2 separate regions of the Mus musculus genome follow, and region 2 is reported to be linked to region 1. The links are microRNA targets in miRTarBase. Many come from high-throughput screens and were not tested one by one. Region 1 holds a microRNA gene; the other region holds the end of a gene's coding sequence.
Evidence for each region. Region 1 holds the annotated microRNA mmu-miR-199b-3p (ACAGUAGUCUGCACAUUGGUUA, at 3,280-3,301, shown strand). A microRNA usually pairs through its seed, bases 2 to 8, with sites in the 3' UTR of a target mRNA and lowers its output. Matches are read on the target gene's strand: a 7mer-m8 pairs with bases 2 to 8, a 7mer-A1 pairs with bases 2 to 7 and ends in A, and an 8mer does both.

Region 2: miRTarBase lists Jag1 as a target of mmu-miR-199b-3p. The part of its 3' UTR that is shown has no 7-base or 8-base seed match.

The regions. Positions count from the first base shown.
Region 1 is chr1:162,214,604-162,218,995 of GRCm38, forward strand. It overlaps Mir199a-2 (microRNA 199a-2), which reads left to right and starts at 3,211; the gene lies at 3,211-3,320. All of the region lies in intron 14 of Dnm3 (dynamin 3), which reads right to left. Dnm3os (dynamin 3, opposite strand) reads left to right here and starts at 3,020. Exons shown (of 1, transcript NR_002870.2): 1 at 3,020-4,392.
Region 2 is chr2:137,079,331-137,083,722 of GRCm38, reverse strand. Jag1 (jagged 1) reads left to right here. Exons shown (of 26, transcript NM_013822.5): 26 at 242-2,272. The coding sequence ends at 699. It also overlaps a transcript of Slx4ip not described here. Among named protein-coding and RNA genes, the nearest start is that of Jag1, 35 kb to the left of the region's middle.

The DNA of each region.
Region 1 (4,392 bases):
AATCATCAGTGAAATGATAATGTCTGCACTCCAAGCGCATAACACGGATATATTAAAGGACTAATGCGCGGTGTGTGACCTGTTCTTTCCAAAGGCGACCACTGCAAAAGCAGCGGAAGGAGTCACACCACCAGCTTGGGAAGGCGGACAAGGTGAGGAAGAAGGAAGCCTCAGGTGATGGAGCTAACTGTCATTGGGTTGGAGCCTGAGCACACGATAGAGCATTTAGCTTACATGCTTGAAGCTGGAGGGTCAATTTACTTAGTTAACTTGTACACAAGTTCTCTAATACAATAATTTCAAGCTAAATCATAGATCATTGAGGTTTGCATATCTAGATATCACAGACAAAAATAATTGTGAACATTAGTAACTCTGCTCTGGTCCAAGTACAGAGACACCAACTTTGAATCTAAGTATTTCGAGTTATTAAAATTAGCCAATCTGGGGAATGATGACCAAGAGGAAGGATGCTTCCATAACACTTTAAAGTTGAGTAAATTTCATAGTCACTCAAAGTGAGGGCATGGCTCAGACAAATGGCTTTCGAAACAAAGAAGCTAAATAACTGATGTTAAAACATCCGAAGACCAGTGTAGATGGCTCGCTTTGCCATCTGGGCCCATACATCTCGGGTGTTTGACTGGTAATTTTACAGGCATGGAAAAGTCCTCAAGCCAGTCCCAAAGTGGGGCTTCCTACAATAGCGTGGAGGCTTTTCTCACTGAGTGAGAGCACTAACATTGCTAACATATGTGAAGGTGAAAGGGGGTGGTCCTTCAAGCTCCTTCCCTTTCTATGCCTAGTCCTTCCTACTGGGCAAGCACACAAGTGGACAAGACCAGATCTGCACCCGCCCTCCCCAGCTATCTGTAGCAAGGACAACTCAAAAGAAAACAGTCCACTGGAAGTTAAAGTAGATAGTGAATGATTTTATAAGAATTTCTGAAGAAAATCCCTTATGATGCTTAAAAAAAAACTTAACTAAAAGCATAAATTTAGGCCCTTACAGAAACGGTATAAAGTCTTTATTTGGTGTAAGCAGAACCATTGAGAGGGTCTAGCTGTGTAAACTGAGACAAAACCATAGAGCAGTCTGGTCAGAACCACTTTTCATTTGCCAACTCCTGTTCCATGGACAGAAACTGAAGTGGGCAGAAGAAAGGCCTTCACTATGTGCAGCAGAAGCAGGCCTAACCTGGAGTGATGGATTCCAAGTGAACCACCTCTCACCAGCCCATGCCTTCTGTAGGACTTAGTACGACAGACATACTGAGGACCCAGCAGCATCCTCTTGCAATCAGACCATTAGGTCACACTTAGTCACCCTTCCATCATTTCCAGTAATCACGTAGCAGCCCTGAGGGAAACGGCAGCTGACTCACACTGCGCTCCCCTAACCACTCTCAAATAGTCCCTAAAGAAGGAGAAGGAGGCCGGTAAGAAGACACTAATAGGAAGCATTCCCCTGGCTTGCATCAACTATTTAATCCTGTGTCAACCTGGTGTATTTAACCTGACATAAACCTCTTTGCTCTATCATAAGCTTCTAGATAAAGTACTCTGACTTAATCTTCTTCACAAGGGCTTGGGACCACTTTTGAACCGTTTGTGGTACATCAATTTAAAAGAAACCATGTTAGGAAAAAATAAATAAGTTAAGGCGGCTCTCACTTGAAGCATTTTGAAACAGCCAATATAGATTTGTACATCTCAAAAGTGTCATAGAAGGCAGGTACAAATAAGTTGTTCGGGCTCTAATTCTTACAAAAATACTATAGCCCTTCATCCTGTGAGTTAGATTTAGAAAATCTCCCACATTGTGACCTCTACAAGGCCAATTGATAAAGCTCTTATTTGAGACAAAAATCTAATATCAATCAGAATACAGTGGAAAACAAGTTAGGGGACCTCATGTTCACAACATTCAACAGCCTACATAATTTGAAACAGTTAACAACTGGGACAGAGGACTAGAGGCCAAGCGAGCTGAGAGTTTGTAAGTGGTCAAGCTTCACTGGGCCAGTTTCAACAGATTTACTTAACCAGAGATAAACCTCATCATCAGAACACCATGTAAACAAAACAAAAGTATTCAAACAGAATTGGGAGTAGCCAGCAGGATAAAACAATGCTGTCCTTAACCGTGTGGCTCTACCAGAGGGAAATGTTCAGAAAAGAGCGGTACAGCAGTGTGGGTGCTTGAAGTCTAAACTTTTTAACATTTCCTTAGGTAAGGCTATAGAACGGCATGCAGAGAGCCAGCCAAGAGAGCTGAGGGAGGGAGACGAGGAAGGCCACATATGGAACTAATTACTCATGGAGAGGCCATGACAAAGAGCATTTCTCCAGACTTTTCATGGGGGCTTCACTTTCAGGAAGTTGCTGTAATTACTGCTCAAGTCTAGAGCAGCCTGCAAGCTGCTGACAGGTCCAGCAGAAAAGGAGGAGGAGGAGGAGGAGGAGGAGGAGGAGGAGGAGGAGGAGGAGGAGGAGGAGGGAGAAGGGGGAAGAGGAGGAAAAGAAAGGGGGGAGCCCCAACTTATCTGACCTCACTAAGGAGTAAAATACAAGAAAACAAAGTATCGCAGGAAAGTTAAAAAAAAAAAAAAAGGCCTCGAAGTTTGCCTGCTTAACAGTGTTTGACTTTCTGCTTACTGCTTTGTCATCTTTCTATCTTTAAATTACTTCTTCAGCCCAGATCAGGCAACAAATTTGTACTTCTACTCTCAACTCACTTTCGGTTGGCCACAGCAGAACTGTACATCTTGCCTTTTTTTTTTTTTTTTACAGCTTTTCCATACTGGGGCCCCACTTCCTGCCCAGTTGAGGGAAAAAATCTGGCCTGAAGATGAAATGACTGCTTAACATTACACGAAAACATCTGGTACCATTTTATGCACAGACCCATGTCTGAGAGCAGGCGATTCTAGCGGTCTCTCCAGCGGCACAGCGCATACCCAAACCTCCCCAGGGTGACATCATCCCATATATGGACTCTCCAGCCCAGCCCTCCCCCTTTTCCTGGTCCTAAATTCATTGCCAGTTCCCTAGTCTGCTGCAAATGTGCCACGTCAAGACTGGAAATCACAGCCCTTTAGTGTGTCTCAGTCGATGCAGCAGACAGGGTTCAGGGGGGAAGCTGAACAAGCCCCTGGTGCAGGAAGACAGGCTCTCCCCAGCCCCGGGACAGGATTTTCCACACACCGATGGAAGCTTCAGGAGATCCTGCTCCGTCGCCCCAGTGTTCAGACTACCTGTTCAGGACAATGCCGTTGTACAGTAGTCTGCACATTGGTTAGACTGGGCAAGGGCCAGCAACGCCATGGACGGCTGGGGACACAATGTGCTGCTTCCAAGGAGAGGACAGCTGGGTGCTCCTTTGTTGAATCTCATATCCAGTGTTTCTCTTCACAGGTTTTGCAAACTAGGGACCAAGAAGCCCTCAGGGACTCTGCCAGGGGAGAGGACTGCTCCAGGGAAGACCAGCGGGTAAGGCCTCTGGGATTGCGTACCTGGTCTGTGATTGGGGAACTAGATAGAGATCCCATCACCTGTGTGAAGACGCTGGAGACACTGAGCTAAGGGACAGATAACCGTGAACTTAACTTTCAAAAGAGCAAGGTCGTATGGTAAATTGTGATTTTCTGTGTGTTTTTTATAAGTCTAAATGTTGATCGTTCAAATGCTTTCTTAAATGTAAGGGTCTTCCGCTTCAAAATAAAAGGTGGGGAAAAAAACCTCACTCCAGACAAGTAGCAAAAACTGAACGAGACTTAGTTTTGAATGGTTGAAACTGATAATTCAGAGACTTAAACTCGAGCATGGATGAGCTATGTATGCAACCTCTAACACTCCAGGAATGAATGCATTTTGCCCTAAAGGAAAAAAATGCAATTTTCAAAACTCTTGTATGAACAGGGAGCTTTTCTGTTTATCTATATAATAGAAACACCAGAAATAATAGTACCTAACGATAAGAAGCAGTCTAGTCTTTTGTTTTTTGCTTTTTTGTTTTGTTATTTTACTATCAGACAATGCAAACGCACTTAGCCAGAGATGAGGGCCCAAGTGCCAAACCCACATCTTACTGACTCAGCAACTTAGCAGGCCAGGGGAATAGCGCTCTGTCTTTAGTGGGCTCACTAGATAACATTGAAATTGTTCTTCTAAAATCCAAGAATGGCTGATACTTGCTGGTCAGCTGAGCCTGCTGGCCCATCTTTTTTTTTTTTTTTTTTTTTTTTTTTAACAAGGCTCTCACTTGTCCTGGGCCTTTGAAATGATAAGGCACGTTGTCTAAAAAGATGCTGATAAAACAGGAATTTGTAAACGAAGGCAAAAGTTTTCTTTGGTCAGTTTCCAGCTGTCCTGGAGGTGAAGGAGAGTGGG
Region 2 (4,392 bases), not on the chromosome of region 1:
ATAACCCAATGTGGAGTTGGAAGAAAGACATAGGAGTGCTATTCTATCCACCTGGTGCACTGAACACAGGTGTCCTAAAGACCAGCTTCTGGCAATAGTGAACCTATCTGTGAAGTTTCAAAGAGGTTCTTGTCCCCACAGTGCCCCTCTTAGGGACCGAATACAGGAAGACCACTGTTGGCATTCTGTTCCTATGGCAATAGCTCTTCTTGAGTTAACTGGTCCTTGGCTTGTCTTCCAGATTTCCTGGTTCCTCTGCTGAGCTCTGTCTTAACAGTGGCTTGGGTCTGTTGCTTGGTGACAGCCTTCTACTGGTGTGTAAGGAAGCGGCGGAAGCCCAGCAGCCACACTCACTCCGCCCCCGAGGACAACACCACCAACAATGTGCGGGAGCAGCTGAACCAAATCAAAAACCCCATCGAGAAACACGGAGCCAACACGGTCCCCATTAAGGATTACGAGAACAAAAACTCGAAAATGTCAAAAATCAGGACACACAACTCGGAAGTGGAGGAGGATGACATGGATAAACACCAGCAGAAAGTCCGCTTTGCCAAACAGCCAGTGTATACGCTGGTAGACAGAGAGGAGAAGGCCCCCAGCGGCACGCCGACAAAACACCCGAACTGGACAAATAAACAGGACAACAGAGACTTGGAAAGTGCCCAGAGCTTGAACCGGATGGAATACATCGTATAGCAGACAGTGGGCTGCCGCCATAGGTAGAGTTTGAGGGCACCGCGGGGCTTGTAGTTTCTTTAAACTGTTGTCCTATTCCAGTCTGAGGCTGTTGTTGACTTAGAATCCTGTGTTAATTTAAGTTTCGACAAGCTGGCTTCCACTGGCACTGGTAGTTTCTGTGGTTGGCTGGGAAATTGAGTGCAGCGCTCTCACAGCTATGCAAAAACTAGTGAATGTGCCCTGGTGTCCATTCCCCTGCCGCAGACACATCGGGCTCCCAGGAGCTGCCCAGCCCTAGGCCTGGAGCTTCCACATCTGCCAGCGGTCCTAATGGTGATGGCAGCCTTAGGATCATAGTTTTATTTATATTTATTGACTCTTGAGTTGTTTTTGTATATTGGTTTTATGATGACGTTCGAGTAGTTCTGTATTTGAAAGTGCCTTTGCAGCTCAGAACCACAGCAACTATCACAAATGACTTTATTATTTATTTTTTTTTATTGTATTTTTGTTGTTGGGGGAGGGGGGATTTGATGTCAGCAGTTGCTGGTAAAATGAAGAATTTAAAGAGGAAAAATGTGTCAAAGTAGAATTTTTGTATAGTTATGTAAATAATTCTTTTTTTATTAATCACTGTGTATATTTGATTTATTAACTTAATAATCAAGAGCCTTAAAACATCATTCCTTTTTATTTATATGTATGTGTTTAGAATTGAAGGTTTTTGATAGTGTTGTAAGCATATGACTCTTTTTTTTGTGAACTTTTCTCATAACGTGTTGCCTGTAAGCCAAAATTAAGGTGTTTGGAAATAGTTTCTCTTGAAAGGATGGGATAGGCTTTTTCCCCTGGGAATACTGATGGAATTTTTTTTTTTTTTTTTTTTTTTGTACGACGTCAGGTGTTGAAACACTTCCTTGATAGCATCACTTTAAGTTTAAGACACATTTTAAGGACTGACTGAGGCAGATTAAGAATTGCTCTAGAACAGGTTTCTTTCTTTCTTTTTTTTTTTTTTTTCCTCTTTCTTTCCTGCTTTAGACTTGAAAAGAGACAGGCAGGCGATCTGCTACAGAGCAGTCAGTTTTAAGGGAACAGACTGAGCTATATGACTTATGTAGCCAGAAAGTGACTGGTTGAATCTCATTACAAATATCAAATTAATTGTGTGAAGTTGGAAGCATCCCAATCTTACTTTGTAAATTCTGATTTATTTTCACCATTCGTTATGTAATGCTGAACCACTTGTAGACTTGATTTCGTTGTTGTTGTCTACTGCATTTAGGGAGTATTCTCATAAGCTAGTTGAATACTTGAACCGTAAAATGTCCAGTTAGATCACTGTTTAGATTTGCCGTAGAGTACACTGCCTGCCTTAAGTGAGGAAATCAAAGTGCTATTACCAAGCTCAAGATCAAAAAAAAGGCTTATAAAACAGAGTGATCCAGGTTCACCACCGGGACTGGGGAGATACTTGGTGTTTGTTCTATTAGTGTTATATGAACAGAAAATACATCTTTGATGTGTTGTTCCTGGCAATAAATTTTGAAAAGTAATATTTATTAAATTTTTTGTATGAAAACATGGAACAGTGTGGAGTCTTGTGAGCTTATGGAATCCTTGCTGGTTTTTCCATCCTGTGGTTGTTTGGCACTGCTCATTCTGCTCCATGTAGCATCTGAAAGGGGTGGGGGTGTGGGTGGGGGTGGGGTTGAAGCAAACAGCAAAATTTCTGAGTTCTCAAAAAACCCGTGAGGCTGCTGTGTAGGTGCGAGCTGTGGTGGGGGAGCCCCCGATTCTCTTGTCATTTGACAAGTGTGAATACTGCTGACATAGTGCTACTGGATTGCAGTGTGGAGATGAATGGTTTCGGAGCACTCACAGGGAATGCCCATTGCACAAACAGTGGTTTAAACAGCTTGGATTTGGCATTGAGCTGAAGGAGTGAGACTTGGCGCCTTCTCACTTTTTGGATTGGATTAATAGTGATTCCTTGCTGTCATTATACGCCACACCCTATGGCTTTATGTGTACGCTTATCCCCAGAGGGTCTCTTTGCCACAACGTGGGTAGTCTGATGTTAGGGTCCACCTAGTCACCACCTTGGCCCAGGGAATGAGTGTTGGGCTGCCTTACCACGCAGACCTTAGGAGCTGGGTATCCGACTTTCCAAGGGGGGCGGGGCGTGTTACAAGATCAAACTGCCTTCAATATCTGTAAATAGCAAAAGCCATAGCTCCCTGTGGCTCCAGGGGCCTTGCCCGTTCCCACACTGGGAGGTGCAGGAAGCTGGCCTCTGGTTCCTCTTCGGCAAGGGATGAGTTGTGGTGAAAGCCATGTGGACACGTTCCAGCAGCCGTGTAGAGTCATCAGGAGTTCCCTGTTTCTGGTTAGGAAGTCAAAGGTTACCTTTCTCAGAATGCTCTTTAGCAACCTAGCATCCAGGCCTGCCCACTAGCCCCTGGACTTAATGGTCTAACAAACTTGGTCACTCAAAGGTGAAGAGATATGCCCTCCTCCTGTACCCATCCCCCACAGGGAAGTTTTCTCTAACAGTCTAGGGGTTATTCTCAGTTAGGTAGCTCATTTCAGGATGGATGAAGAGTTTTAAATGTCCCAAATATCTCTGCATAGACAGACTATCAAGGGATTCAATGTCTCTTAACATCCCTAAGCTATATCCAACAGTGCTTTGTTTGGGTGCCTCACGAGGTACTTCAGAAGGAAGCAGCTAGTGATGAGTTTAGATTCCCACGACATCTTACCTTGGTGTAGCAATACCTTGTCATTAATCTCTGTCAGCAGACAGCTGGTTTCTGCAAGGTGGGGTTGAAGAGGGAGAAGCAGGGACCCTATAAGCCAGGAGACATTCTCGTTAGACAGCACCAGATTCCAATAGCATTCTGAAGTAATACCTTGTTCTGGTGGTTTGTAAACTTGGATTCTGCAGGACGCTAGAATTCCTTGGGTAGCTGCCAAGTAGTTTTGTGCCAAGGGGGGGGGGTGGGGAGGGGAGTTAATGAGCTTCTGCAGGCCTTCATTCCAGGAGGGAAGTGATCTTGAGATTCACGGATGTTGTCTTGACGAGTCTTTGGTCCCCGACATGGAGTCCTGGGAGGGCATAGGTCAGACTCCTGTGGGCACGGCTCAAAGCCAGGATCTTAATTGTGGAGAAAGAAGGAAGCCCGGGTATGCTGGGGTCAGGGGGTAGAAGAGAGGACTCTGGGAGATGTTCTAGCCCTTCTTAAAGAAGCTTTGGCAGAGAAAAGTTCCAGTCCCGAATCTCACTAGCTAAAATCCTAACGTTAGGGTATGTCATGAAATTCTGGAAAAGCATTACCCTGAAGGTGGTGGCGATTATTCTCATTGTCCCAAGTTTTTAGACAACTGGGGGCTGGGTTGGGGTAGGAGGCAGTAGGATATTTAACCTAACTAAATGCAAGTGGGATTGTCATGATAAGAAAGGCCTCCTGCTCTTTTGAATGCAGAACCCCAAGCCCAGCTCAAGACCCCATAGGATCAGAACTCACCAAAACTGGACTTTAGAATCTACATTTGTCAACAAGCTTTCTCCTCTGCTCCTTTCCCCCTTTGCTTACACACAGTAAAATTTGAGAACAAAAGTATACGCTCTTCATTAATTACAATGTTTTTCCTCCTTGTTAAATGGAATTAGATAGCCTGGAAGCGGGCTTGTTGCTAAATTACCAC